Linked DNA regions of Macaca mulatta. Each later gene encodes a partner of the first gene's protein in a complex. Links are inferred from orthologs where the notes say so. Each region holds a gene or a part of one and is shown on either strand. Other genes may lie near its edges. The genes, in order: WNK4, KLHL3 and KLHL2.

Region 1 (9,837 bases):
CATGTCCCAGACTGAGGCCGACCTGGCGCTGCGGCCCCCGCCGCCTCTTGCCACCGCGGGGCAGCCCCGCCTCGGGCCCCCTCCTCGCCGAGCGCGCCGCTTCTCCGGGAAGGCTGAGCCTCGGCCGCGCTCTTCTCGTGTCAGCCGCCGTAGCTCAGTCGACTTGGGGCTGCTGAGCTCTTGGTCCCTGCCACCCTCACCCGCTCCGGAACCCCCCGATCCTCCGGACTCCTCTGGTCCTGGCCCCGCAAGGAGCCCACCGCCTAGCTCCAAAGAAACCTCCGAGGGCACGTGGACCAAGGGAGCCCCTGTGAAGGCTGCAGAAGACTCCGCGCGTCCCAAGCTTCCGGACTCTGCAGTGGACCCGGGGTCCAGGGAGCCGCTGAGGGTCCCTGAAGCTGTGGCCCTAGAGCGGCGGCGGGAGCAGGAAGAAAAGGAGGACATGGAGACCCAGGCTGTGGCAACGTCCCCCGATGGCCGATACCTCAAGTTTGACATCGAGATTGGACGTGGCTCCTTCAAGACGGTGTATCGAGGGCTAGACACCGACACCACAGTGGAGGTGGCCTGGTGTGAGCTGCAGGTGCGGCTGGGAGCCCCCTCGGTGGCACCTTGGGATGGGACTCTGGAGGTCTTAGGATGAGAGACAGAGGGTGGGGGAGACAGCGTCAAGGGAAGGATATATTTTTCCAAATGTCTATAGACACCTCTGCTGTCTTTGCCCTGAATGATCTGGCTGACTCTGGGCTGCAGAAGGAGAGACTGAGGCAGGTGGTGTCTGGTGACTCCTCCATGGGTATGAACATTCTCACTTTAAAGTCTCCATACTCAACCCTGAGAGGTGGAAGATAGGATGGGAAGTTGGGCAGGGGATCCAGTTCAGGTCAGTTTCCTGCTGGTGGGTACCCACAATCCCTTCCTCTCCCCTAAGTCCTGAGATCCTCAGTTATGACCCTGGTCCTCTTGATCCCCTCACTCCTCCCCGTCCCCACCTGTTTGCAGACCAGGAGGCTGGGATGTGGGAAGCCAGGAGCTGGGCAAGGGTCCTCTCCAACTCTAAAAGATTTAGGGCAGTTGTGGCAGAATGGGGCCCCCTAGTCCCTTCTGGAGCAGTCAGACTTCTGGACTTCACAGCTGCGAGGAGGGGGACATAGGGAGCTCCAGCTCTGGAGTGAGTCCAGTTCTGCTCCTCATCCCACTGCCTACCTGTGCTCTCCCTTCCCTCCCATATCTAAAGGCACTAAGCCCATGGGCTTTAGGAAGACCTTCCTCCCATCGCTCCCATGCTACATATGGGTTAGGAGAACCCAGTCAACTTGGGGCCCGAAGCTTCGGATTCAGATTGGGGGACAGAGCCTAGGGGAAGGGTCCCTCTCCAGCCCTGGCACAGGGCTCGCCCCTTGCGCCTGCCAGTGCCGCGCCCCAGGCTCTGGGCCAGGCCAGGAGAGGCAGCCAAACTGGTGGGTGAGGGGAGGGAGAGGAGCCGGGGCGGGACAACTATGGGGGTGGGCGGCCTCTTGGCACCTAGTTCTGGATCTTTTCTTTCCTTCTCAGTACCAACCTCCATATCCCTCCTGCCTTCTGTCTGGATCTAGCAGTTCCCAGTTTCTGGGGCCAACCCCCTTGCCGGCCCCAATTCCCTGCCCGCGGTCTCCTGCTGCCCGCCTGCTGCCTGCTCACTGCCAGCCCCCGGGTGCCCCCTCCCGCCCCATGGCGGGCCTGGGCAGCCACAAAGGCACTATTGAGCTCAGGACTCCGGGACCAGGCTGCATAAAGGAGCTTGTGTCCAGCAGGGGGTCTAGGGGGCTGCCCCAGGCCCAGGTTGGGTGTGTCCTTGGATCAGCTTACGTGGGGGACTGTTGGAGAGTTCAGGGTCTGCAGCCCACTGGGCGAGTGATCCCACTAATCCCACCCCATCTGTGGGCTCCAACCCTTACTTCTTCCCGCAACCCCACTCCAGGTGTTCCTTTCTGTGGGGGTCCTGGGCCTGACATGACACCCGTCCCCCATCCCACAGACTCGGAAACTATCTAGAGCTGAGCGGCAGCGCTTCTCAGAGGAGGTGGAGATGCTCAAGGGGCTGCAGCACCCCAACATCGTCCGCTTCTACGATTCGTGGAAGTCAGTGCTGAGGGGCCAGGTTTGCATCGTGTTGGTCACCGAACTCATGACCTCGGGCACACTTAAGACGTGAGCTCTGCGCATGAGTGGGTGGGGAGAGGGAGACTGGGATGTGTGCCCACTGCTTCCTGAACTCCCAGGTTCCTCAAACTCTCTAATATCCAGGTGTAAAACCAGGTTCATCATCTCCCTCTCACCCAGCCTTTGCCTCGGTGAGTGGCAATGTCCACCCAGCACTCCAGTCAAAAACTTGGGTGTCTCCCCAGACTCCCCTCTCTCCACTCTGCCCCCTCATCAGTCTGTCCCCAAGTCTTTCCTTAACCTCTCCCCACCTGGCTTTCACTGCTTCATCCATGCCACCACCTCAATGCCATCTCGCTGATCTGGAGCCCTGCAGCAGCCTCCTGAAGGGCCTTCCCAAACTCTGCCACCCTCTAAGCGATCCTATCTTCCTGCAGCCTGGAGGATCTTTCCCAGTCGAAAATCTGAACTGTCACTCCCCTCCTTAAAACCCCTTCAAAGTTTCCCATGGCCTTGGAATAAAGCCCACACAGGCTCACCTGTTCACAGACGCCTTGGGATACAGCCTCATTTTTAGCCTAAGTTCCAATCACACCAAATTCCTGGCACCTCGTCCCACCCTGCCTTGTCACTGGCTTTTTCCGTGCCTTTGAGCATAGTGTCCTGTCTGCCTGGGAAGTCTCCATCCCTTCCCCCTTTCACCTTTGAGCTCCTACTCATCATTCAAGATGCAACACAAAAGTATTTCCTCTCCGAAGCCCTCCCTCATGCTTGGGGCAGTTGGTCATCCCTTCCTGCGCTTCCACAGCACCTTGGCTGCGGCCCTATCAATTTACTTCCCAACCCGTTTGGTAACATCATGTCTATCCACCACACCCCCTGACTCAGTTTCTCCCTGTGGCCAGGCAGACATAGACTAGGAGAATGCTGGCAGAAGATGCGGAGGCGGCAGCAGGGTGCTGCAGGGGGGAACTTCCCAGTGAGGGGACTCCTCCCCATTGGCCGTGTCCCCCACCAGGACCCTTGCTATGTGCCCTCCCCCAGGTACCTGAGGCGGTTCCGGGAGATGAAGCCGCGAGTCCTTCAGCGCTGGAGCCGCCAAATCCTGCGGGGACTTCATTTCCTACACTCCCGGGTTCCTCCCATCCTGCACCGGGATCTCAAGTGCGACAATGTCTTTATCACGGGCCCTACTGGCTCCGTCAAAATCGGGGACCTGGGCCTGGCCACGCTCAAGCGCGCCTCCTTTGCCAAGAGTGTCATCGGTGCGTCTCTCCAGGAGGGTCCATGCCATTCCTTCCTCCCCCACCTCAGAAGAGAACCTAGGTACTCCCTCCCCTCAGCAAGGGCCTTCAAGGTCCACGAAACTACCAGATGACAGGGGAGCTGAGGAGACCTATGGCATCCCTCCTCAACCCCACTGTGGGCCGGGGTCACTTGCACTCGCAGGGTTGCCTGGGGCTACCTAGCCCAATGGGAAGGACAAGGCCAGAGTGCCCAGCAACCTGATCCTTGCTGTTGACCCTACAGGGACCCCGGAATTCATGGCCCCCGAGATGTACGAGGAAAAGTACGATGAGGCCGTGGACGTGTACGCGTTCGGCATGTGCATGCTGGAGATGGCCACCTCTGAGTACCCGTACTCCGAGTGCCAGAATGCCGCGCAAATCTACCGCAAGGTCACTTCGGTGAGAGGGATGGGACTGGCGGGAAAGGCAATTCCAGGGCCACTTCCCATTTTCCTGCCCCGGCCAGCCCGCAGTCAGTGCCCTTTGCCTGCACGAAAACAGGCTAGACAGAGTCGCCTTGGGGAACACAGGATATTGAATGCACATGCACCCCCTCCAGTACACGCTATTTAGAATAATATGTGTGGTGCTCCCAAGAGTTCACAAATGATTTCGCATCCCATCTCTCATCCAATCCTTCCAGCTGCCCTGTGAGGTGAGCGGGGCAAATGTTCCACCCTGCGATTTACAGATGAACAAACAGCGGGAGACTTGTTCAAGGTCACACTGTAAATACTTGGCGGGGAGTGAGATTTGAAATCACATCTTCCAGTGGCAGTCAGGCTTTTGCAACTGCACGCGTAGCTGCCTAAGGCGGGAGTGGAGTAAGGGGTGGGGGGTGTCAAGCCGAGAGCTGGGGATCAAAGGACCGGAGGTGTCATGCAACCCCTTCCCCCAGGGCAGAAAGCCGAACAGCTTCTACAAGGTGAAGATACCCGAGGTGAAGGAGATCATTGAAGGCTGCATCCGCACGGATAAGAACGAGAGGTGGGGGTGAAAGGGCAGAGCATGGGTAGAGTAGGGCCGCGGGCCGCGGCGGGCTAGGCTAACCCCTCGCGTCACCCTCAGGTTCACCATCCAGGACCTCCTGGCCCACGCCTTCTTCCGCGAGGAGCGCGGTGTGCATGTGGAACTAGCGGAGGAGGACGACGGCGAGAAGCCGGGCCTCAAGCTCTGGTTGCGCATGGAGGACGCGCGGCGTGGGGGGCGCCCACGGGACAACCAGGCTATCGAGTTCCTGTTCCAACTGGGCCGGGACGCGGCCGAGGAGGTGGCACAGGAGATGGTGAGCGGAGGACAGACTGTGCTGCCAGTGGACGTGTAAAGGGCATTGACCCGAGGAGATAGTGCAACAGGGATGGGGCGCAGGAGGCGTGGCAGCGATGGGGGCGGGGCACCTTACTCCTCTCAGAATCTCCTGCAGCGTCTCCCTACCTCTCCAGCCCTAACTTACCTGCACCCACACCCAGTTTTCCTTTACAGAGGGAGCCCTGGGTCCTCCAGCATCCCTGCTTTACCTCCAGCTGATCTGTTCTTCCTGGAATGCCCTTCTTGCCAATTTATCTTTTCCTTCTTTCCTGCCTCCCCCTTGTTCTTTTTCTTTTTCTTCCAATATGATCAGAACCATCGATTTCGGGAAGCCATCCCCTCTGGAGTCAAACTTAAATGCTTCTTTCCACTTCAGCAAGTTCTCTGTTACATCACTCCCCACTATCGGTCCTGTCTTAGACCTGAATAAGTTCCTATCTTTCTTCTCCACTAGACTATAAACTCCCTGAGGGCAGAGACTGTGTTTATTGATTCTTCTATCCCTGGCAGTGCTTGGCACATAGTAAGAGCTCATTAATAGCCCACATCTGTACATGGCTTAAAGCACTTTCACATGCATTTGATCTTTGCTACCCATCCTGCATAGGGGGCAGTTTTATCTCAACTTGTTGATAAGGAAATGGAAATTTAGAGAGGTTGAATACCTTGTCCACTGCCCCAAGTAGGTAAGTGGAAGAGCTGGATTGAAACTGAGGTGGTTCAGATTTTAAATCAGGTTACCCTTCCCCACCTCCTTTACTCACTCAGCAAAGCTTGTGGCTAAAAGGAAAGAGGAGGTGATGAATGGAAGCTGGTAGAAGGGGAGAGGCATAAGATGCAAGGGCAGACGCCTGGGGACTGGCTTAGGAAGTCCTGAAGGGAGTATGAGATTCTTTTTGGGGAATAATGGAGTCTCACTCTGTCATCCAGGCTGGAGTGCAGTGGCACTATCTCAGCTCATTGCAACCTTCGCCTCCTGGGTTCAAGCAGTTCTCCTGCCTTAGCCTCCCCAATAGCGGGGATTACAGGCACGAGCCACAATGCCCAGCTAATTTTTGTATTTTTTAGTAGAGACGGGGTTTCACCATGTTGGCCAGGCTGGTCTCGAACTCCTGACCTCAAGTGATCCACCTGTCTTGGCCTCCCAAATTGCTGGGATTACAGGTGTGAACCACCGTGCCCGGCTGAGTATGGGATTCTTAATACAGACATGACTGTTGCAAGGGTGGAGACCACCTACGGTGGGACAAGAACCTGAGAATGTGTTAGAAATTTAGAGCAGGTCTCCATATCATGGAGATCCAATCTTGATCCATTGCTGACAAGGGATTCTTGGCCTTGGTACTGTTGGCATCTTTGTTTTAGGGACTGCCCTGTACATTGTAGGATATTGAGAAGAACCCCTGGCTTCTACTCACTAGATTCAATAGCATCTACCTTTGAGTTGTGGCAACTAAAAATGTCTCTAGATATTGCCAAACATCTCTTCTTCCCATTGGAAACCACTGACTTACTGTATAACTATGAACTGGTCAATTCATTAATCTCTAAAATGGAATGGTAAGGTTTATCCCACAAGGTTGTTTGGAGGATCTAATGATGATAATGTAAGGAGCTGCCAGTTAGCAGACATAGTGGGTCATCAGTAAGTGTTGGTTTCCTTCCTCCCATATCCCGGAGTTCCCAAGAAGGTGTCCTGATGGATCTTTGAGAGGGGGTCCCAAGCTGTGTTCCTCATCCCCCACCCCAACTCCAGGTAGCTCTGGGCTTGGTCTGTGAAGCCGATTACCAGCCAGTGGCCCGTGCAGTACGTGAACGGGTTGCCGCCATCCAGCGAAAGCGTGAGAAGCTGCGTAAAGCAAGGGAATTGGAGGCACTCCCACCAGAGCCAGGACCTCCACCAGCAACTGTGCCCATGGCTCCCGGTCCCCCCAGTGCTTTCCCCCCTGAACCTGAGGAGCCAGAGGCAGACCAGCACCAGCCCTTCCTTTTCCGCCACGCCAGCTACTCATCTACCACCTGTAAGTCACCCTGATCTTGAGACATAGGTCCCAGAACACCTTGGACTCTGCCCCAAACCCAGAAATTCACCCCCGCCGCAGTCACCCTGCCTTCCACCTCTAGCCATGAAGCTCCCTCCAGGAAGGAACTCTCCCACAGCTCCAGGCCCCTCCTTGCTTAGGCAGCCCCCTCCTCTGCCACTATTCCCTTTCATTTCCCCTTTTTTTGATCCCCTCCCTCCCCAACCAGCGGATTGCGAGACTGATGGCTACCTCAGCTCCTCCGGCTTCCTGGATGCCTCAGACCCTGCCCTTCAGCCCCCTGGGGGGGTGCCATCTAGCCCAGCTGAGTCCCATCTCTGCCTGCCCTCGGTGAGAGGGGGTTGCATGGGGGACTCCCAGCCATTCCAAGCCTATGACCTATCTCCCTCCTTGTGAAACCCAATCTCATGATCCAGCCCTATGTCCCTGGAAATCTACCATTCTTGTCCTCCTTTTCCCTAATTCTATCTCCCTAATATCCTTCCAGCATCCTTGACACCATCTCCCTAGATTGCAACAGTTATCTTCCCCTAACCTCATGAACCCTTATCCTGTTTCAGGCTTTTGCCCTATCCATTCCACGTTCTGGCCCTGGAAGTGACTTTTCCCCTGGGGACAGGTATGTTCTAGTACAAGTTGGGGTGCCAGGGTGAGACACTTGGGACACTGGGGTCTCAATGTCTGCTCTGACAGTCATTCTGTCTCCTTTCTCTTTACCAGCTATGCCTCAGATGCAGCTTCAGGCCTTAGCGATGTGGGAGAAGGGATGGGACAAATGAGGAGACACCCAGGGAGGAATCTCCGGCGCAGACCCCGATCCCGGCTGCGGGTCACTAGTGTAAGGATGGAGTACAGGAGATAGGGAGTAACCTACAGGGCCAGGAGGGGAGTGTCAGGGGAAAGCCGGGGGCGTCACCCAGAAAAGGGGAGAAGCAGTGTGTGACTGGTACTCAAGAGGCGACCAGACTTTAGGGGTGGGATCTACTTATCTCCAAGTCCATTGTGGCTGCTGTCACTTGGCTGGGTTAGGGTGGAGACACAGCATGATGACAGAGGGCTTGACTTCCTCCCCTCTGCTGACTTTGAATCTGAAGGTCTCAGACCAGAATGACAGAGTGGTTGAGTGCCAGCTACAGACCCATAACAGCAAGATGGTGACCTTCCGATTTGATCTGGATGGGGACAGCCCGGAAGAGATTGCAGCTGCCATGGTGAGGGGGAGAGAGATGAGGACAGAGTATTTGGATCTGGAACAAGAGTCTCCTTCCGGATGTCCACTGGGGCTGAAACCCACTGATCCGACAGCAAGGGTTTTTAAATCTCTGGTTGACACTTAGCACAGTGACACTGAAGACGTCTCAGCCCTTGTTTTGGGGGGAGATTTCTGTTTATCCAGGGAGGTTTGGCTTCTCAGCTGGAGGAATTTGAGACTCACATTGACCGGGTACACACAAGTGCTATGTGTAAGTGCCTGGTAGACGTGCAATACTGTGGCTGTAGGTGAAGGATGGACTGGGCAGCAGGGGCAATGGGCTTACCCAGGACCTTGGCAGATGGGCCAGAAAGGCCGTGAAGGGTGGAAAGGCTGTGAAGGGTGTCCCTATGCAGGGACAGCATAAACAAAGGCATTCCAATTAGAGAGTGACTTGGAATATGGAGCTGGGAGGGCTTCATGAGGGAATCACTATCATTAGAAGTAAAGATTCCTACAGGAGAGTTGCGGGGAGTGAAGCTGGGTAGGTAAAGTGGGTCCAGATTATAAAATAGACAATGTTAAGAGTTAGGCAGAGGCCAGGTGCAGTGGCTCACGCCTGTAATCTCAGCACTTTGGGAAGCTGAGGTGGGCGGATCACCCAAGGTCAGGAGTTCAAGACCAGCTTGGCCAACATGGTGAAACCCCGTCTCTACTAAAAAATAGAAAAATTAGCCGGGCCTGGTCGCGTATGCCTGTAGTCCCAGCTGCTCAGGAGGCTAAAGCAGGAGAATTGCTTGAACCCGGGAGGCGGAGGTTGCATTGAGCCGAGATCGCGCCATTGTACTCCAGCCTGGGTGACAAGAGTGAGATTCTGTCTAAAAATAAATAAATAGGCAGAGTGGGCTGGTTCCAGTGGCTCACACCTGTAATCGCAGCACTCTGGGAGGATGAAGTAGGAGGATTGCTTGAACCCAGGAGTTCAAGACCACCCTGGGAAATATAATGAGACCCTATCTATACAAAAAATTTTAAAAATTTGCCATGTGTGGTGGCACATGCCTGTCATCCCAACTACCTGGGAGGCTGAGGTGGGAGGATCACTTGAGCCTGGGAGGTCAAGGCTGCAGTGAGCTGTGATCATGCCACTGCACTCCAGCCTGGGAGACAGAGTGAACTTTGTCTCAAAAAATAAAAATAAAAATAAAAAAAAGGCAGAGTGTAACATGGTGACAGTAGGCTTTGTGAAGACCATCTGCCATAGGATATGGAAGGGGGTTAGGGGAAGGGAGGGAAAATACCTGGGAGGTAGACCCAGGAAACCACCTGTGGACAAAGGAGAGAGTAGCTTATGGGAGGGAAGAGGAGAAAGGGTGAATCTGAGGGTTGTTTCGGGAAAATAAGTTACTCTGTAATCCAGTAACCTACTGACGTAGTACAGAACATAGTACATAGTAGATGCTCAATAAATATTTGCTAAGTTGATATGATAGGGAGTTAGGGAGAAGGGATGTCAAGGACAACTTGTAGGCCACCAAAGGAGAGTAGGAGAGTAGGTGACCAAAGGAGAGAGGAAGTTAGAAATGAAAGAATTTTTTAAGAGGTCATGATGAGCTTGAGTGAAGAAGGGACAGCCAAGACAAGATCCTCCATAGCTGAGGGATATGGGTCAGGCAGGGCTGGAGAGAGGTGGATGGAGGAGTGGTCAGTACAGAGTTGAGAGTGAAGGGAGATGAGCCTGCAAAGCCAGAGACACAGAGGGTTGCAGAGTGTGTTTCAGTGCATACCACCAGTTCTGGAGTGGGAAGCGGCAGGGTAGGTCATGGAAGGACACAGAGATGAAGCCACAGAGGTAGGAGGAAGT
Region 2 (10,341 bases), on another chromosome or scaffold:
GCATTTCTCTGGTGAGTAGTGATGACGAGCATTTTTTCATATTTGTTGGCTGTTTGTATGTCTTCTTTTGAGAAACGTCTGTTCATGTCCATTGCCCACTTTTCAAAATGGGTTTATATGTTTTTTGCTTGTTGAGTTAAATTCCTTATAGATTCTGCATATTAGACCTTTGTCAGATGCAGTTTATGAATGTTTTCTCCTATTCCGTACACTGTTTACTCTGTTGATAGTTTCTTTTGCTATACAGAAGCTCTTTAGTTTTATTAGGTCCTACTTGTCATTTTTGCTTTTGCTGCAATTGCTTTTGAGGACTTAGTTGTAACTTCTTTGCCAAGGTCAATGTCTAGAAGGGTATTTCCTAGGTTTTTTCCCTGGGATTTTAATAGTTTTAGGTCTTACATTTAATTGTTTACTGCATCTTGAGTTTATTTTATTTTATTTTATTTTTTGAGACAGAGTCTCACTCTGTCACCCAGGCTGGAGTACAGTGGTACAATCTCGGCTCACTGTAACCTCTGGGTTCAAATGATCCTTCTGCCTCAGGCTCCCAAGTAGCTGAGACTACAGGCACATGCCACCACACCTGACTAATTTTAGTATTTTTAGTAAAGATGGGGTTTTGCCAGGTTGGCCAGGCTGGTCTCAAACTCTTGACCTCAGGTGATCTGCCTGCCTTGGCCTCCCAAAGTGTCGGGATTACAGGCATGAGCCACTGCACCTGGCTGAGTTAATTTTTATATATGGTGATAGGGTCCAGTTTCATTCTTCTGCATATGGATAGCCAGTTATCCCAATATCATTTATTGAATAGGAAGTCCTTTCCCTATTGCTTATTTTTGTTGACTTTGTTGAAAATCAGTTGGTTGTAGGTGAACAGCTTTATTTCTGGGTTCTCTTTTCTGTTCCATTGGTCTATGTGTCTGTTTTTATACCAATACCATACTGATTTGGTTACTATAGCCTTGTAGTATAGTTTGAAGTCAGTTAATGTGGTGCCTCCAGCTTTGTTCTTTTTGCTTAAGATGAGCTTTCTTTTCTAAATGGCGTCTTCTGAGTATTCTCTATTCTGTCTACTTCCTGTGAATCGTGAGTGGTGAATAAAGTATGAAGGTGTAGTAGTATGGTTTTGACACATACATTATAATGATATCGGTTAGCATGGCAAAAGTGGGTTGCAGGGAAATTTTGTGGGTTTTGATATTGGCTCTTAATAGTTGTATTTTGAAACTTGAATACCCACAACCCTTACATATTTCCTTTTTGGATCTTTTTTCTTTCTGTCTGGTGTATTAGATGTGGCATTTCCCCACCTTCCTGTAAGGCGAATATGTAAACGTGGGTATGTGCAAAGGAGTCATCTCTTTCTTATGTCCCTTTTATGAATCACCCAGTTGTCTTCCTGGTGGATGTCTGAACTCTGGCATGGATTCCGAGATTCAATTTCCTTATTTGTGATGTTCAGTTTTTTGTGGTCCCTGTGATTGACCTCAAGAGGAAATATCTGGAGCAGGGCCACAAGGCTGATTAGAGGAGGAAGGGACATAGAGGGAACAAGATAGGAGGGGTATTGTTGTGAAAGGAAGAAGTGAAGATACAGCCCTGTGGGGTGTAAATGAAATTATCCAGGCCTCTTCTCACTTGAGAAAGAGTGAGTTTGAGTAATGGCCTCGTCTAAGAGAACACTGAGGTGCCAGGGGAGGTAATCTTTGAGAATAACCCTGTAGCCAGTTTGAGTTCAGGAGGCTATATAAAGTATTAGTTACTTTTACTTTCTGTCACCCCAGTGTTTCTCTCTTCCTTCTGTGGTTTTAGAGCTTTGTAGTAGTGAAGACATTTATCAGGTTAAAATGATAAGAATGATAGATTTACTAAGCGTCTCTTCATACTTTCACCTACATCATGTTATCCTCCTTGAAGCCCCCTACAAAACATTAGAGCCTAGTGTTTCTTCTTAAACAATCATACAGATTACTCTGAGAAGAAAAACAGACCATTTAAAACATTTTTAGAATCCTGTGATTTTGGAGCTGAAAGGGACTCTAAAGACTGTCTGGTCTTGACCCTATATTGTGAATGAGTAGCTGAGCATGAGGTCCAGAGTGTGGAGAACACTACTCAGGAAAGTCACTCACCCAGTGAGAGCTGGTGCAGATTCGGAAAAGCCCAGGAGTGTCTTGAGGGGTCCCAGAAGAGAGATGCTCATAGCTGATTTTTCTGAGGCATTAGGGTAGCTTCTGCACCACTTTTTGTGGCTAATTGCCCCAGTTACCTCTAAGCCTCTGTGGCTAGGATATACAGACTGGCCTCCTGCCTTCCACAAGATTATGTTTTAGTTTGGGAAAGAAGATTTATAAATAATGAATTAGCTAGGTGTGAGATGACAATACAGGACAGTATAGTTTGTAGCTATTTTGGTGGTGATTGGCTGTCATTGGTGTGATTCGGGAAGTTATGAAGACATGGGATTTTGACTAGCCTCCCAGAAAGACTAAAGGACTGGGATTGGAGAAGCCTTTCCAGGCAGGGAGAGTTAAATTAGTCTAAATAGAAGCTTAGCAGCTGGAGATTACAGGATGTGAAAGATCTTTGGCTGGATATGGGGGTTCAGTGGGAGACTTACTAGTTGGAGCCACAGCTTAAGTTAAATTCCAATATGACAGATTTTAGGAAGATATTTTAGGATTGTGCTAAGATATTTTAGTATTCATTGTGATAGCTTTACTGCAGTAGTCTTTGGCCTCTTGGAGTAAAATAGGGTTTGTTTCCGTTTCACCTATTTGTACTACCTCTCTTTTTCGACTAATTTTCCAATTTCTCTCTGTATTCTTTTAATTTCTCTCTGTGTTCTTCTCACTTCTGTCAGGTGCTTTTTCCTTAACTTCTCCCCATCTATCAGACACTCAGAGCTACTATAGAATTTGGGAGGAGGATTTGGAACATAAACTGTGACCTACAAGTGAATTTCCCCAGGTGGATGATAAACTCCACTGCAGGCCACAGAGGGGCCTCCTCATTCCAGCAATCTGGCCAGGCTGACAGACTCATAGCCTATGGGGGCAGGGGAGGGTGTAGGGGCCAGTATTTCTCGGGCTAGTGACGAACTGCCTGATTCTTTGCAGCCTAGACAGAGGAGGCAGGAGCCCCAGGGGCGGGCTAATCGCCTGGGCTGGGGATGCCTGGGCAGATGCAGAGGCAGCTGGAAAGGTGGCAGTGCACCTGGGTCGCTGGAGCTGCTGCCGTTCCTAGGAGACCAAGGAGCAGCAAGCCTGCGGGGGAGGGGGAGCAAGTGGGTTGCTGCTTTTAGCAGCTGAAAGGGCTGCAGGGAGCTCTGGGTAAGACATTTTCTGCTGCTGCTGCTTTTGCGGTAGAAGCTGCTGCGAGTAAGTCAGAGGAAGGAGGATTGAGAAGGGAGGAGGCTTCACTTGCAGCCATGCTGAATCACTGTTGCTGATCAGATCTCCCACTGGTCTGCTGGGAGAATCAAGAACAGAACTAGGATTCCCGGGTGCATGCACACAGTTCAGCGGCTACCACCCTGACTGGGCCTCACACAATGGAGGGTGAAAGGTATGTATGTATAAGTATGTGCTGTGTTGTGTGTGTATATAAGTAAATGTGTGCTTGCGGTACAGCCACCAGCTTTTGTGCTTGCATTGGCTAGGCAGGGTTGGAAAACCTGGCCACTGATGGATCTCAAAGGGCGGCAGAGCAAGAGCAGGAAAGCCGCTTTCCAAACCACCCATTCCAGGGCTTGAATCTCCAGAGATCTGGCTTCCGCAAAGGCAGGTCTGGGTTTGCTAGGCAGCGGAGCACCCTGAAAGAAGGGACTTCCTGGCTGGTGTTCGGGAATAGTTTCAGCACAGGCTGAATTAGATTGCCTTTCTCAGGCTGTTTCAAGGAGGCGTTTCCCTTTCCTGGCTACTTTCCCGGGGTGTTTTTTCTTTGGTGGGGGGTTTTTGATGTCATAGTGGGGCCGGCCTGACATAGTGTACTTGCATTTTCACGCAGGAGTGCTCGAATCTTCAGCAGGCATGCCATGCTGATGGCTGTGTGTGTGTGTGCGCGCAGGCACGCCGTGTATGCCTGTATACACACACATTCAGGGATGAAGGAGAGAAATCCAGTCAGATGACACTTGCTCTGAACTGAGTTTCATATTTGTATTGAAAAGTTTATGAGTTATACTGGAAGGTCTGTGCTTCCTCCATCAGGGATTTCTTTTGAAATACGAACCAGCAGAAAAGATTTCAAGTACTTTTGTTGAGCTGGATCTAACTAGCGAGGCAGTTAGATCCTGGCAGGCACACCCATCTAAATTTTTAAATTGTTATCTGAAGATCTGAATCTTTCATTGTGAAAGTACTCAGTGCAGTGCAGAGGTGACATTCCTCTGTCTATGAAGTAAAATATCTCTTGAGTGCCAACCTCTTCATTCTTTGGTCTGCAGTTGGTAGAGTACAGGGCTTGCCATTTTATCCGAGGAGAGAGCACTGCAGGGAGGGGTCCGGCCATGGCAGTGCACCACTGAGGGGAAGGCTGCTGCTCCAGGTTGCCAGTTTGATGCAGACAGTAACTATCTGGTTAACAATAATAGGCTCAACTAAGTCAACACTAGAGAATCTCTCAGTGAACACTTTCCTTTTCATGAGTTGTTGTGACTTCTGCGTCTCACGGGGCTCAATGATGCCATTGAACATCTCTAGACCCTATTAGAACTGGCATGATGGTTGAGTGTCATCTCATTCTTTTGTCCGTAGAGGCCCTGGGAATTGTGTTCTTGATGACTCCCACAGGAAGAGCCTGGGACTGACTGTGCTGCTGGTGCATCGTCTTTCTGGGTGCTCTTTGTAACAGGAGTTTAGTGTTGAACTGCATGTGGCCTGCTGGGCAGCAGAACATGTGAAGGCTTGTTTCCTAGGTGTGGGGCAGAGGTGAGCAGTGTCTTTGGTCCCCCAAACAGTGTTCCATTGGTCTGGTAGGTGGCAGAGAATGGGGCTGATGTGATGAAGGTTTAGAGATTCTGGGCCATGCCTATTTGCTTGATCTGTGGTGTAACTGGGGTTGAGAGATCAGTGTGAGACTACTAGCAGCGGATCAAATGGTTTGGGGCACTGTGTTCCCAGTTCTGTGTTCAGAAATGTAATGAGTCCCTGCCCCTGTCCTGGGGCCTCTCAGCTGGGATGGCTGATGTCTATGGCTTTAGAACACCAGGTTGCACATGTTCTTGTACTTTTCCTCTGCTGAAGGCAGATGGTAGACAAGAAATCCAAACCGAGCAGCTTCCAATGTTCACCAGGTCACCCAGGTCATACCTTTTGTTCCTGCCTCAAGCCCAGCTTACCATGCCAGGCATTCAAGTCTTCTGAACTCCAACTCCTGTTCCCATTCCCACTGCTCACTCATAAACCTACTAACAATTCTATTGATCTCTTTCATGATCACCCATCCTATACATTACTTCATCTAGCCTCATATCCTTAGCTCCCAGAGTTTCTTTTGCTGGATGTCTTTCCCTTCTAATTTTGCAAAAGTTATCTATCAAGGTTATTCTAAAATTCTACTTTATCTTGGAAACTCAGCTTTTCTAGTCCTGGCTGATGTTCTTCTGAATTCTAATCCCTCTAGTTTGCATCTCATAGTTGGACACTGAATAATAGGCCCATCAGATCTTTTAGTGCTTTTATTTCATATATCTTAGCAGTCCCCAAACTTGGAGACAGGTCCTCAAGGGCAAGGCTAGTACCTTGTACTTCTAAATACGCCCATTGACTACTGTGTGGGTACACAAATAGCAGGTGCTGAATAGTTATTAGCTGATTAACTAATAACCTTTGTGTGAGGCTCTGATAACTAAAAAGAAAGTTGGTGAGAGAAGAGACTGAAGCCTTTGGCCAATAGGTTCATCTTTGGATATCAGCCTTATTATCTTAGCACGGGTAACTGACTCCATGGAATGCTTTGAGGTAGGGGGGAGAACAGAGGGAAGTAGCCTTGTTTTGCAAGTTCCCTGGGAAATTGAGGTCCGGAGAAGCTGAGTGACTTGCCTAGGATCACATGTCCAACCTCCAGAGACTGGAGGGATCCTGAATCTGGTGCTTGTTCCACACTTAACCTGCTGAATCTTAATTGGGGCTGTTTTTAAGCATTACAAAATTTCAACCAAGAGATTGCTAATGAACAATTTTTTTTCTTTGCCACGAGGGTATGAAAATACTTTGTACCTTGAAAGGCTATTAATTAAAAGCATGGGCTTTGGAGTAACTTAGACCTAGTGGTGAATCTACTTTACAGTGTGACCTTGAGTGTGTCACACTCTTTTCAGAACTAATTTTTCTCTTTTGTGTAAAGGAAATAATAACAGTACTTATACTTCATAGAGCTGTTGTGAAGATTAAATGATACAATATGTGTAAGGTACCTAGTAAAGTTTTTTAGGCACTGAGTGAGTACTCAGGAGATGGTAGTTGCTATTATCATTGGTATCCACCTATTGCTATGTTGTAGCCTATACCTCGCTGCTGGGTTACTAACCAAGGCATATTTTAGGACCTCTCTCTGTTTATCATCCAAAGCAGATTAAGTAGAACCATTTCCATGAGGAAATGAGGGAGCTTATCAGGCCATCATCTTGCTTCTTACCTAAAACTATCTCCGTATAGTAAGTTCCCCCATAGGGCTTGGCATTTCTTCTTTTAGGTTTCATCAAGATCTACCTTAATCTTTCTTTTTATAGACAACCTGTGGCATCTAGTTGCCTCAGTGATTTGGAACCATGGGCTGGATACATGTTTGTTCAGGCCAAAATCTCAAGAAGAACTTGTGAATTTGCACTAACCTTTGCTGTATCTTTCTAGATTTCCAGGTCTCTCCTGGAACTTATGATACTGAGTCTTCCCCAGTTCCCTCTGTGGGAGAATCACTGTGGCTTGACCAGTCAGACGAAGGTGATTTTGTCTTCTCTTTTGCAAAGGGAAAGGGTCTCTGGCTGTTAGCTATTACAATGATAAATTGTGTCCATGTGAGTGGGTATGTAGAGAAGATAGGTATCACAAATGGCAGTTGTCCTTGCAATTGGGATTTTATTTCAGTTCTGGAAATCAGCCTTGTGGATAGCTTAAAATAAAATTTCAAAATAAATGGTTAGTCAGATTCATAGAGACAGAAAGTAAAATGGTTGCCAGGGGCTGGAGGGAGGGAGGAGTGGGGAAGTTATTGTTTAATGGATAGAGAATTTCAGTTTGGGAAGATGAAAGAATCCTGGAGATGGATGGTGGTGATGGTTGTACAACAGTACGACTGTACTTAAAAATGGTTAAAATTATAAATTTTATATTACATCTATTTTACCACAATAAAAAAAACATTGAGGCCCAGACTGTGGCAGATCTGCAAGAGTTACAGAGCAGCACAACTTTGGAAGAAGCATCATAAAAAGGGGAAGTTAATTGTCTATTTTTCTTAAAATCATGATTATTTTCTTCATCAGAAGCACAGCGATGCCCCTGCTTGAGACGGGCATCATGTACCGGGCACTGTGCTGTGATTTTGTGTGAGGTGTCCTCAGAGGATAGTTCTTACTGACTGGTTTTTACGAAGGAGAGCCTGTTCCTGGACCTCAGGGAACTTCTGATCCAAAGGAGCTCATCTATTTACCTTTGATCCAGGAACGACAGATAGAGAATATTTTCTGAGGAGACAAGACTTTGAAAGCCAGTATACTTTAAATGTTGAGTTTTCTAATGTCAGGTTAAATGCTGGCAAGACCCAGGGAAGAGCAAGTGTTGAGCAACCTCGCCTTTTTTCTGTTCCCAGTGGCAAGTCACTTAGTCCTCCCCGAACCTTAGAAGTCAGGGATAGAAAATTCTGTAAAAAGTTTTGGGCATCACTGCTGCCTGAAGCAGATGTGCATGCATTTCAACCATGATAATTGAAACCAAATTTTTCCATTTTGGAAATACTTTTTGGCAAAGTAAAGTTTTCAACTGCAAAAACAAAGTCAGGGAAAGAAACCTCTTGATTTCCCTGCACCCAGATTTGGATTTTTAGGATTTTGCTTGCTAAGTTTTGAATTGGTAAGACAGATCTGGACAAGATAATTTTTGTGTGAGTTTTCCTAAAAAGTGCTTTATTTGATGAAATTTGCCATCATCAAACTAACCTTTTTTTTTTTTTCATTTTCTGGATGAATGTTCAAACTAGGTTAAACGGAATAGAGCACTAATAAACCATGTAAAAAATAGATTGAACATGTGCTGGTAGGTTTTTTCGTTTTTTTGTTTTTTTCTGAGACAGAGTTTTGCTCTGTCGCCCAGACTGGAGTGCAGTGGCGCCATCTCGGCTCACTGCAAGCTCCGCCTCCCGGGTTCACGCCATTCTCCTGCCTCAGCCTCCAGAGTAGCTGGGACTACAGGCGCCCGCCACCACTCCCAGCTAATTTTTTGTATTTTTAGTAGAGGCGAGGTTTCACCATGTTAGCCAGGATGGTCTTGATCTCCTGACCTCGTGATCTACCCGTCTTGGCCTCCCAAAGTGCTGGGATTACAGGTGTGAGCCACTGCGCCCAACCCAGATTTTTTTTTTTTTCTGTTAAATAAGTTCAATGCCTCTCAGGTCAGAGATCTAACTTTTTATCATTTATGAGGATTTTCGGAGTCTTAGCACAACTTTCCTGGACTTTTCATTTTCATTTATGAAAGTATATCGTAGCCACTATCAAAATCACACACATGCAAGGGCTTATCTCTCCTATTCAAACTAAACATAAACTTGGCTTCCAAAATGTCACATAATGAATAGCATGTTTTCTTTTAGTCTTTCTCTCTTCTTGTCTAATTTTATCTGTCTGTGTAAAATGTTTTACATTTTTACATAGCCCATTTAAGAGTTTTCCCCTTGAGTTTTGCAGAAAGTGGTCTGTGAGTTGGGGTTTTAGGAATGTGATTAGTAACATACCTGTTCTTGAGCTTGTTTATGAAGGAGCACATTACAGGAATGACAGCAGCTGCTGGTCATCTTTGGTGAATCATGATTGGCTTGTGTGAAGGCCCCAGTGTGTAAACTCCAAGTTCAGTACAATTAATAACACTGACTCCAGTACACACTGCAATTTCCCATAATCAGAAGTGAAGTAGTGCTATATCACAGGTCCTAGGAGATTTAGTCTTTTTTCATTTGGCCTGGTTTGGTCGTACAAGGAAAAACGTCAGAGAGTGGGACATGAGGGGTTGTGCCTCCCTTGGTCTGATGGGCTATGGACATTATCCTGAGTCGGTGGACATTGTTATTAAGAGCCCAGGCCTTGGAGTCAGATAGGCCTGGGTTTCAGTGCCAGTTCTGCACTTACTAGTTATGTGGGACTTTTGGACAAATTTTATCTCTGTACCTTAAGAGATAATACTGCCTACTTCCTAGGGTTGTTCTGAAGATAAAATGAGATAATGGAGGTAAGGTGCTTTAACATACCCTCAACTTTCAGGAAATGTTAACTCAATCTATACCTTACTAATGCATATGTTCTACATATCCATGTGGGCTATTACAGGGGTTCAACCTAATGCTATGAACTGAGGTGGCACTGCTGAAAGAGGATGAAGAGTATGGGGCTCTCTGGTAACCTGTGTGTAAATGGTACTTTGTGGTGGCAGGACTGCACCACCAAGTCCTGAATCCTGCTGGCTGGACATCTTCACGAGTCAGGTTCTTCATTAATCCAGAAGTAGCAATCTAAGTTTGGTCATTTTGGTCTTGAACTTTAGGATTGGGATACTTACTAGATCTGCAGTTTGACCAGAGTGCCAGGGGCTCAGAAATCCTATCTGGATAGGGTCCCATTGCTGCCCAGAGTTGGAGAAGCAGAGTCATGCCAATGACCTCATGAGAACCTAAAGTACAATAGTCAACATGTCATCAGTTTATTGATTTACAGTAAAATATTACTGGCAAGATATTCCTGAGGGCCTGCAACCACATTCTGGCTCTCTGAAGGACGACCACGGGGGAGGCCAAACTGGTCAAAACGCTGCAGAGTAAACTAGGGACTGAGTTATGGCATTGGAGTATTTATAGGCTTCAAGCTCCACCATGGGGATCTGACCTAAGGCTGAACCAGCTGATGACATCTAGTGATTAAATCACTTTCCTAGACAGAGTGAGATGGGTTGGACCGAGGGCTTTCTTCTCTGTCTGATTCTTAGTTTTTGGTTATTCCTTTCTAAATTACACTTTCTTTGTTGAGAGTTTTTAATGCATTCAGCACAGCTTTGCCCTGGCTCAGAGTTGTTTTGCCTTCATTGAGTGGTTTTGCCTCTTTATTCCATCTCATCTCTAGCTTGAACATAATGT
Region 3 (9,837 bases), on another chromosome or scaffold:
CTGCTCATTGCAGAAAAAGCCTACACGGTGCTTCTACCAAAAATAATCTTCAGTATCCGAGGCCTATAAAGGCAGACGATCTTATCTTCTGCTGAGACGTAAAGTGCAGCTACAAGTGGAGAAGTGCTAGATTCTCAGTCACTTCAGAAATACTTGTTGAAGGCTGTTTCTCATGTATAAATATGCTGAAAATGTCCTTCAGGCTCATAATGGTTTATCAATAACTGTGACCCCTGAGCAAAGAAATGAAGAGATAAAAAAGAAGTCACAGGCAGCATTCTGTATCTCTGAGAAGACACTCAATTCTTTATTATAATACGAAAGCAGTAGGAACCATACAAATCATGTTTCAGAATCTCTTTCTTAAACTTTAGTAGTATTATCATTTTAATCTAAATGACACTGAAATCTCTGTTTAGTTATGGACTAAATATAAGACTATTTAATCCAGAACTAGTCTCTTCCTCTTTGTAGTTAAAATTTGGAAAACATACTCAAAAGGGAACACAGAAACTTTTGAGCGTGACGGATATGTTCATTATCTTGATTGTGGTGATGGTTTCATGGGTATATACTATGTCAAAAGTAATAAAATTATATACTTAAATATACAGTTGACCCTTGAACGACATGGGGGTCAGGAGTGCTGACCCTCCCATGTACAATTTTTTACTCCCACACAATTCAACCGTTAACAGCTTACAGTTGACCAAATGCCTTACTGATATGGTCAATTAACATATTTTACATGTAATATATGTTATACATGTCATAACATGTTATGTGTTATATATTGTATTCTTAAAGTAAGCTACAGAAAAGAAAATGTTATTTAAAAAGTCATAAGGAAGAGGAACTATATTTACTATTCATTAAGGGGAAGTGGATCATCATCAAGGTCTTCATCCTTGTCTCTTCACATTGAGTAGGCTGAGGAGGAGGAGAAAGAGGAGAGGTTGGTCCTGTTGTTTCAGGGGTGGCAGAGGCGGAAGAGGTGGAGGAGGTGGAAGGGAAGGCAGGGGAAACAGGAGAGGCAGACACACTTGGTGCAACTTTAAGGAAATACACTGTAATTCCTGACTTTTTTGTTTTTTTCATTTCTCTAAAAATGTTTCCATACAATACCAATCCTCCTTCCACCACTTTCTTCAGTTACAGTGCACATATCATAGAACGGCCCATTTCATAAAATAAGTCATAAACAGTCTTGAATAACCAGAACCCTTTTGCCAGACTGTCTAATGTCAGTTTGTTTTCTGGCATTGCTTCTACGTCTTCTTCATTGTCTGGCAGTGGTTAAGAAGCACTCATCTCCGTTGAGTCATGTTCTGTTAATTTCTCTGGTTTGGTATCTATTAGCTCTTGAATTTCTCCAAGATCCATACCTGAAATCCTTCACCATCAACCTTTATAGTCACATCCACGATCTCTTTCATGATTTCTTTGACTGGCTCTGTCATAACTCCTGTGAAGTCATACACAACATCTGAACACAGGTTTTTTTTTTCCAGCAGGAATTTATTGTTTTGGATTTGATGACTTTCATAGTTTTTTCTATAACAACCATGATATATTCAATGGTGTAATCCATCCAAACTTTCATGTTTTCTCTGTTGAGATTCTCTTCCATAGCATTGGCAATTTTTTCCATAGAGTGCCATATAGAATGAACTTTAAGGTTCCTCTGGTCCCTGATCTAGAGGCTGAATTAGACACATTGTGTTTAAGGGCACGTAGACCACTTCTATGCCTTTGGTGTTGAACTCATGGGGTCCTGGGTGGCCAATGGCACTGTCCAATATCAAAATAAAAGGCAGTCCCTTACTGGCAAGGTAATTCCTGACTTCAGGAAGAAAGCACAGATGGAACCAATCCAGGAAAAGAGTTCTTGTCTAGGTCTTCTTGTTATGCAATCAAGACTGGCAGCTGGTATTTATATTTTCCCTTCAAGGATTGGGGGTTAGCAGCTTTTTAGATAAGAGCAGCCCAAATCATAAACCCAACTGCATTTGCACAAAATAGTAGAGTTAGCCTATCCCCTTCTGCCTTAAATTCTGGTGCTCACTTTCCTTCGTAATAAATGTCCTTGGTGGCACATTTGTCTGCATTAAAAACTTTTTCAGGCAGATAACCATTCTCCTCAACAACTTTCTTAATGGCATCTGGGAGCTTATCTGCTGCCCCTTGGTTGACAGAAGCTGCTTCTCCTGTTATCTTGACATTTTTTGAGCCAAACCCCTTTCCAAAATTATCAAGTTATCCTTTGCTTGAGTAGGCTGAGGAAATTCTCCAGTTTCAGATCCTTCACCTTCCTTTTGCTTCAAGTTGTCATATAATGACTTTGCTTTTTCTCAAGTCATATTAGAGTTGACAGGTATGCCTTTCTTATAGCAGTCCTGCACCCACCAAAAACCAAAACCAAAAAATCAAAAATAATAAAAGTTTAAAAATTAGCCGGGCGTGGTGGCACCCCCTGTAATCCCAGCTACTCAGGAAGCTGAGGCATGAGAATCGTTTGAATCTGGGAGGCGGAGGTTGCAGTGACCTGAGATCACGCTGTTGCACTCCAGCCTGGGCGATAGAGTGAGATTCTGTCTCAAAAAGAAAAATCCTGCATCCACATAAAAGCTGCATGTTCAACACAAGATAAAAAGGGATTTCACAAAAAGTGTGAAGTTTTCAAAACTGCTGGGATGGCTGCAAGGATGGCTTCATGAATTTCCTTTTTCCTTTTTACAATGATCCCGACCCTGGATTCATTTATTTTGAAATAGTGGGCAAGTGCAGCAGCAGACCTCAGTCCATGGTTTATCTCAAGCAATTCCGCTTTTTCTTGTCCTGTCATGACTCTTCTCTGCTTCGCTGGAGCACTTCCCAGCATCATCACCAGTGGCACTTTGCATGGGTCCCGCGGTGTTATTCAAGGTTTATGATATTGCAGTAAACATGATGAAAAATAACGCAGAACCATGAGAGAGAACTTTTTACTGAGATACGGTCACTGAAGAGACAAAACTGCTCTTTCAAAGGTGATTAGCGCCCCCCAGCTTTTTAAGTGGATACTCACAACAGCTGAGCTCACCAATGCAGCAACAGGAGACGGCTATAAAATTATTAGAGTAGTACAGTAATATACTACAGTTAATTTCATGCAGTTATGATTTAATATTGTATCTTTGTGGTTTGTTCACATTTCTCTGGACTGTGAATGACACCATCTATGGTTTGTAGGTGTTTGTTCTTGTAAGAGTTTGTGTGCATACGTTTTGATAAATTTTAACTTTTTGTAATAGATTTTTGGATATTTTGTAGTAAATGATAAAACAGACTAATATCTACATATATTATGTGTTCATAATCTTACTTAATTTTTTCAATATTTCTAGGTTATGCAGTTCATCTGAGTTTTTTCAAACTGTTACAAATCTCCAAAAAAATTTTTCCAACGTAATTATTTTTCAAAAAATATCCACATATAAGTGGACATACACAGTTCAAACCTGTGTTGTCCAAGGGTCAACTGTACGCTATGTATTCTGTCAGTTTATACCTCAATGAAGTTGTTTTAAAAATTAATCTAGTATTCAGCCATGTTATATTGGAATTCTACTGTACATAGTTCTTCTAAGTGCTGTTTTGAATGATACATAAGCAACAGTGATGGTTAATTAGTTTAGACATTTTCTTCCTCCACTATTGGATCAATTTTGTTACAGAAATATTATACTATTAAAAGCCAGATAAATATCACTGAAAACAATTTAAAGATTCACGATAAAATTTATTAAAATTATAATTTATCTTACTAAGAGAATGGAACAAAAAATCACATTTTATAACTCAACCAGTACCATGCTTAAGAAAGAAAAATTATTCCACAGCCTCACTATAATACTGTCTCATGGAGCCGCACCACGGGGAGACATAGGAATCCTATCCTATTTCTCGGACATCTCAGGAATTAAAGCCTTGTCACATAGTGACTTCTTCTTCTCTGCATACAGATTTTAGCTACGTTAAGTTTTATTATATGATTTTGTATATCAAAGACTTGGGATTTTGAATACAAATGACTGCAGAATGACAAAAGTATACTGGTGCTTTATTTCAGAATATACACAACCAATGTTAATCATCTTAAGAGTAAGATATAAACTATACCTTCAGAAAAGACTTTATTCTTATAACAGAAAAACTTTGTTAATATAAAAACCATAATGAGGTCATCTTTTCGTATGATAATTGACTTTAGAGACCAGTTACCTGCATAACTTCTCCCTGTGCTCATACACGATGACACAACTGTCCATTTATCGGTTGTTGGGTTATAATATTCTACTGACGCCAAGTTACAGGAACCATCGTCCCCTCCAACAACATATAACAGACCATTAACTGCACAAACTCCTTTAAAAAATTACACAGAGAGAAAACGATTATTTTAAAAAGTTGGATGAATATGAGTATCCCTGTACATGTTTAGTGAGGTAATCCAGAGACACTAATTTCTTTGAAAGGAGGCAAGAAAATAGTGAGCACGTAAAGAATTCTTTTTATTTTAGGATAGCCAGGCACCATGGCTCACGCCTGTAATCCCAGCACTTTGGAAGGCCGAGGTGGGCAGATCACTTGATGTCACGAGAGTTCGAGACCAGCCTGGGCAACATGGCGAAACCCCATCTCTACTAAAAATACAAAAATCAGCCAGGCATGGTGGAGTGTGCCTGTGGTCCTAGCTACTCCAAGAGGCTGAAGCAAGAGAATCACTTGAACCCAGGAGGCAGAGGTTGCAGTGAGCCAAGACCACACCACTGCCCTCCAGCCTAGGCAACAGAGCGAGACTCCGTCTCCAAAAAAAAAAAAAAAGAAGAATTCTTTCTTTATTAGGAGACTATAATACCACTTCTAAGCTCCTACTGATTGTCATTTATGCAGTAGTTACTTTATATATGCATTATTGTACTTAATTTTCACATTATAGGTTGGAAACTATTTTGACCCTCATTTTATTTATTTTTTTTAAATAAAAAGTCAAAGTCAGCTACTTAGGGAATCCTAAGAAAATATATGTTAGTAGAAGGTAAAAATATTCTTAATTTTAATTATCACACTAAATGGTTAGCTATTTCATCTCCCTTTAAAGAAGAGAATATTATTTATCTATTAAAATAACTATTTTCTTTGCAAAAATTCAAAATATCTAGAAAAGTATAAAGAAAAAAAGATGACCTCCAACCTTATGTCACTTAGAATAATGACCATTAAAATTTTGATCTCTACTCTGGCTAACTTTTCTTTACACATATATACTCAGATACTTTCTTTTTTTTTTTTTTTTTTTTTTTTGAGACAGAGTCTTGCTCTGTGCCCCAGGCTGGAGTGCAGTGGCGCGATCTCGGCTCACTGCAAGCTCCGCCCCCCCGGGTTCACGCCATTCTCCTGCCTCAGCCTCCCGAGTAGCTGGGACTACAGGCGCCGGCCACCTCGCCCGGCTAATTTTTCTTGTATTTTTAGTAGAGACGGGGTTTCACCGTGTTAGCCAGGATGGTCTCGATCTCCTGACCTCGTGATCCGCCCGTCTCGGCCTCCCAAAGTGCTAGGATTACAGGCTTGAGCCACCGCGCCCGGCCTTTCAGATACTTTCTTTTTTAACCCCAAAGTAGCTCACACTACACATGCTACTTTATTAAACAACTTAGCCACCCTGGCCAACCAACATACTTTGGACAGTTCCTCAAGTTAATAAATGTAATGTTTATGTATGATATCATCGTAGTTTATTTAATCATTTTTTTAGATGGATATTTAAGTAATTTTGATTTTTTTGCTGTTATCAATGATGTTGCAATGAACAAAGATCCCCTGAATATTGTTTTGAATACTTGAGCAATTTTTCCTAATATAAATTATTAGAAAGAAAACTGCTGAGTCAAATGGTAAATGCTTTTAAAAAGCTAATTCAATGTAATTTTTTAAAGTACATTTAATACCTTATAAAAAGTTCAGTGCTACTATGAACTTGTACTAGAGGGCATCAAAGAATCCAGAAGAATGCTGCCCAAATCTACAAAACTTTGTAGGAAAAAAACTCATACCATTTTAAGTTGTTCAAATACTTAAAAGGCAAATGCTGCTGCCACACAAGCTCCATACAGTAGGTATATGTGTATGCAACACTATATTTCAGTCTGTTGATGGACAACATAGGACTGTGAGAGAAAAAATGATCTCAAAAATGGCCCTGCTATGATGGAAGGCATGAACAAGGAGATTATATCGTCCTGAAGAGTTTTCCCAATTGTATCTACGAGGGGCTCACAGATTAAAGAGCATCCCACTGCAGAAAGGGAGGTTGGTCCATACATCCATTTGAATATATTGGCTATATATTCAGAAGACACCAATTTTACTAACCCACTAACTCACAACACCAGATTCCTTTTAGGCGATTGGAGCCAAATCACTTTGCCAAAAGGATGCACTTTCCTGCATTGTTTGATGGTTCCAGTTTATTCAGTTTACTTCAACACAATCAAATTCATATTGAGAACCTATTACAGACGTGCTAGGTATTAAAAGTCTATATATAATCATCTAATTCAAGTTTATTTCATTTTTACTCCACTCTTGGTGTCATAATTTACCATACTTATGAAAACTTTTGAAATTTGGCTGGTAAGCTGCTTGCTATTTCAAATTTATATGGATGCTTTCACCTCTCCCCATTTAACATTGAATACGTGTCCTCCACTCTTTGCCAGCTTAGTTCTTTCTTCCCAGTAATTTAGGTGCTTGGATGAGGTCCTGAGCCTAGGTTATTAAAAAGGAAGAGCTGAACAGATCTTATTAGAAGTTTTTTTCAGATTACCAGGAATATGGAATGAGGGTGAGATTTTAAATATTCTTATGAACTTAAATAATTTTAAAATATATGCTCAATTGGATTATATTGTATCTTGTAAATTATAGAAGTAAATAATTCAAGTTCTGTTATTTGCATAGAAAATAAACATAATTGATTGAGAAGGAAAAACTGAAAAGTTAGCTTTCAGATTTCTCTCTCTTCCTTATTATCAAATAAACTCAAGTAATGTTGTCTAAGTCAAAGTATGAAACAACTTTTCAACAGACTTAAGTCTTTTTCCTAAATCCTACCCTTTCCCACACAATTTTTTGAAGAACAGCTCTATAATGATAGACCTATCATATAGCTCTATAAATACAAATTATCTCTTTATTCTTCTACCTAAAAGAAATGAGTAATTTTTTATATGAAAACAATAAGCACATATAGAGAAAAAATAAGATTATTCTAACCTTTAAGAAAATATTCATAAAAAGCTCAAATTGCAACTAAGTTTCCTAATCCAGGAAGGACACTTGCACAAATCACCATGGCTTTTCTAACTTAATGTGTACAGGAGTCACTTATTCCACTAAGGACCCAGATGTGAGGGTCTTACCATTGAGCGAACTGATGACTAAATACAACTGACCAGATGACGTGCAAGGCCAGACAGATTTAATTATAAATTCTGGTCTGTGGCTAACAGTATCTGCAGTTCCACATACTTAGTCTTTCTTAGTAATCACACTTCTTTAAAGAGAAACTAAGATGCGTGCTGATGGAGGAGGGGTGTCCCATGGTGTACGTAAGTTTGAGACTCACCAGGAACTTATTTTACACTATGAGAAATGACATGAAGATAGTGGCATTTTGAAGAATCCTAGCATTTCCTGAAAGGCTATGTAGCTATCTTGAGTCTATTTTCCACTTGTATTTCCCTTCCTTGATTCTTCTTTTTAAGTGGTTATTTCCCTAATCTTAAAGTTCTCTACTTTCTTAAAATTATTTTTTGTTGTTGTTGCTTTAGTTTTTCCATTTTCCTGGAAATCCTGAACTGTATTAAGCTAGGGTTACCTCTGCAGACTTCCCCTCTAGATTTAGATAACCAACTAGTTTTTTAACCTAGTATAAATATTTACTCAACTAGACTAAATTTCCTGAGAAGTAGGATCTCCAGTATGTGATAGATACATAGTAGGCACTAAAAAATATTTGGTGTAAGAATGAATGAATTCAAGTATCAAATGAAGGGTCTACTCCTAATTAATTAGTCTCCAAGTTTATCACCAAAAAGTAGCAGCTAGTAGAAAAAAGTTTACTGACGTGTCACAACAACCTGTTATGTTCCAGAGACTGTGGCAGGCATTCACTTTACAGGATTATTACGTAAGTTTCTGCCTTTAAAGAGTTCAAAGTCTACCAGGGAACCCAGATCAGTAAAAGAACAATGGAAATACACAGTGATACTAGTGAAACTTAAAATAAAATTCAACATAAGTTTTATAACCTTAAACTGACAGATACCTGCATTTCTTCTGCACATGTTCATATCTGCAACCTGTCTCCATGCATTAGTGGTAGGATCATACACTTCAACACTTTTTCGTACTAAAGGGCCATCATGACCTCCTACAGCATACAATAAATTGTTTAACACACCAACACCTATAAAACACAACCAGCCAAATAGAGGGGCAAAAAGAACAAGAGATTTATATCATATTAGGTTTATTTAACTAATATGTTTATTTAACTGTAACTAAAACTTTTGAAGTTATAATTCATAATAAAAGCAAGCTGATACTATAGCCTACAATTTAAGAAATGGAAATCAATAGAATTGATGATTAAATAAGCATCTCAACAAACTTTTATTCTGAAAAAAGAGGCATGTCAAACAGAATAAAAATATTAATAATATGTAGGTGAAACACAGGGAGGGAAAAAGTCCTTTAATGTAATCCTTTTGAAAAAAATATCCATAATAAAATAACCCCGAATTAAAGCACAAAATTTTAAGAAATATACATGAAAAGATTTGATTATTAAGCAAGTTCCCCAATAAGCACTAAAAACAGAAACTAAAAGGAGTGCTAACAATGTGAATATATAAATGAAACAGAAATGTCTATAGCACTTTGACATTAAATTTTAAAGTAAAATTACTTTGTAATTACTCCCATTAACTGCACAATTCAAAAGACATTTAGCAGTGCCATTAAAATCAGCATATCATATATTTTCAGATAATGTAAAGTGATGCCACTGAATCATTTTACTTTAACTATTTTCCATCATTTTTGTGCTTCGATTGCTAAAATAGGTTCACATGTACCTGCTCCACTCCGCCTGGTGCTCATTTCTGCTATATAGCTCCACTCATTTGTTGTAGCATTATAGCATTCTACTGTGCTAAGACACTGACGTGACGCTCCATCATAACCTCCTACAGCATAGAGCAAACCTACACATAAAATCACAAAGAAAGCCAAATTTATTAAAAAACGAACAAACAAAAAACACTATTTTTTCAAGCCAGAAAATATTAATATATTTTCCTTCATGGCAGTAGAGTTTCCCCGTAAAGTGCTCTGATTTTTATGAACTATATTAGGGTCTTGCCTAATGGTGACAGATGGAGTAATCAAATCATATTATGAAGATCTGCAGGGTATAGATGATGTTAATTTTATACTTTCCTCAATAATCTGATAAAAAGCACACTCATTATATCTTTAGGTAACACTATTTGATAAGTGAACAACATCCTGTAAGACAGAATTAAATACCAAAGTTATCTTAGGAAATTGGAAAAAAGGTTAAATCAAAAATTAATATCAGAATGCAATGCAATATTACTTGGCAATAAAAAGGCATGAAGTACTAAAAAATGCCTCAGTATAAACAAATCTTGAAAACATCACCCTAAGCGAAAGAAGTGAGTCACCAAAGATCACATACCGTACAACTAAAATGTTCAGAAGAGGCAA

What was found.
Region 2: the proteins of WNK4 (region 1) and KLHL3 are in contact, whole or in part, in a crystal structure (PDB 4CH9), measured with the Homo sapiens proteins. The link is inferred for Macaca mulatta from reciprocal best matches to the Homo sapiens genes WNK4 and KLHL3. Residues at the interface, in NP_115763.2 of Homo sapiens: Glu557, Pro558, Glu559, Glu560, Pro561, Glu562, Ala563, Asp564, Gln565; in NP_059111.2 of Homo sapiens: Arg339, Phe355, Gly357, Ser358, Leu359, Arg360, Thr386, Phe402, Gly404, Gly407, Ser432, Tyr449, Gly451, Ser481, His498, Arg528, Tyr577.
Region 3: the proteins of WNK4 (region 1) and KLHL2 are in contact, whole or in part, in a crystal structure (PDB 4CHB), measured with the Homo sapiens proteins. The link is inferred for Macaca mulatta from reciprocal best matches to the Homo sapiens genes WNK4 and KLHL2. Residues at the interface, in NP_115763.2 of Homo sapiens: Glu557, Pro558, Glu559, Glu560, Pro561, Glu562, Ala563, Asp564, Gln565; in NP_009177.3 of Homo sapiens: Arg345, Phe361, Gly363, Ser364, Leu365, Arg366, Thr392, Phe408, Gly410, Ser411, Thr412, Gly413, Ser438, Ser439, Tyr455, Ser487, His504, Arg534, Tyr583.

The regions. Positions count from the first base shown.
Region 1 is NC_133421.1:67,132,743-67,142,579, forward strand, and holds part of WNK4 (serine/threonine-protein kinase WNK4), read left to right. Parts: coding exon 1-583; intron 584-703; exon of another isoform or gene 704-796; intron 797-2,017; coding exon 2,018-2,190; intron 2,191-3,186; coding exon 3,187-3,407; intron 3,408-3,672; coding exon 3,673-3,830; intron 3,831-4,329; coding exon 4,330-4,418; intron 4,419-4,499; coding exon 4,500-4,716; intron 4,717-6,495; coding exon 6,496-6,760; intron 6,761-6,989; coding exon 6,990-7,111; intron 7,112-7,341; coding exon 7,342-7,400; intron 7,401-7,474; coding exon 7,475-7,619; intron 7,620-7,875; coding exon 7,876-7,992; intron 7,993-9,837. UniProt on the Homo sapiens protein: Serine/threonine-protein kinase component of the WNK4-SPAK/OSR1 kinase cascade, which acts as a key regulator of ion transport in the distal nephron and blood pressure.
Region 2 is NC_133411.1:146,580,681-146,591,021, reverse strand, and holds the start of KLHL3 (kelch-like protein 3), read left to right. Parts: upstream 1-3,317; 5' UTR 3,318-3,553; coding exon 3,554-3,567; intron 3,568-10,341. UniProt on the Homo sapiens protein: Substrate-specific adapter of a BCR (BTB-CUL3-RBX1) E3 ubiquitin ligase complex that acts as a regulator of ion transport in the distal nephron.
Region 3 is NC_133410.1:173,866,808-173,876,644, reverse strand, and holds part of KLHL2 (kelch-like protein 2), read right to left. Parts: intron 9,312-9,837; coding exon 9,183-9,311; intron 8,513-9,182; coding exon 8,372-8,512; intron 4,408-8,371; coding exon 4,264-4,407; intron 234-4,263; coding exon 205-233; 3' UTR 1-204. UniProt on the Homo sapiens protein: Substrate-specific adapter of a BCR (BTB-CUL3-RBX1) E3 ubiquitin ligase complex that mediates the ubiquitination of target proteins, such as NPTXR, WNK1, WNK3 and WNK4, leading most often to their proteasomal degradation.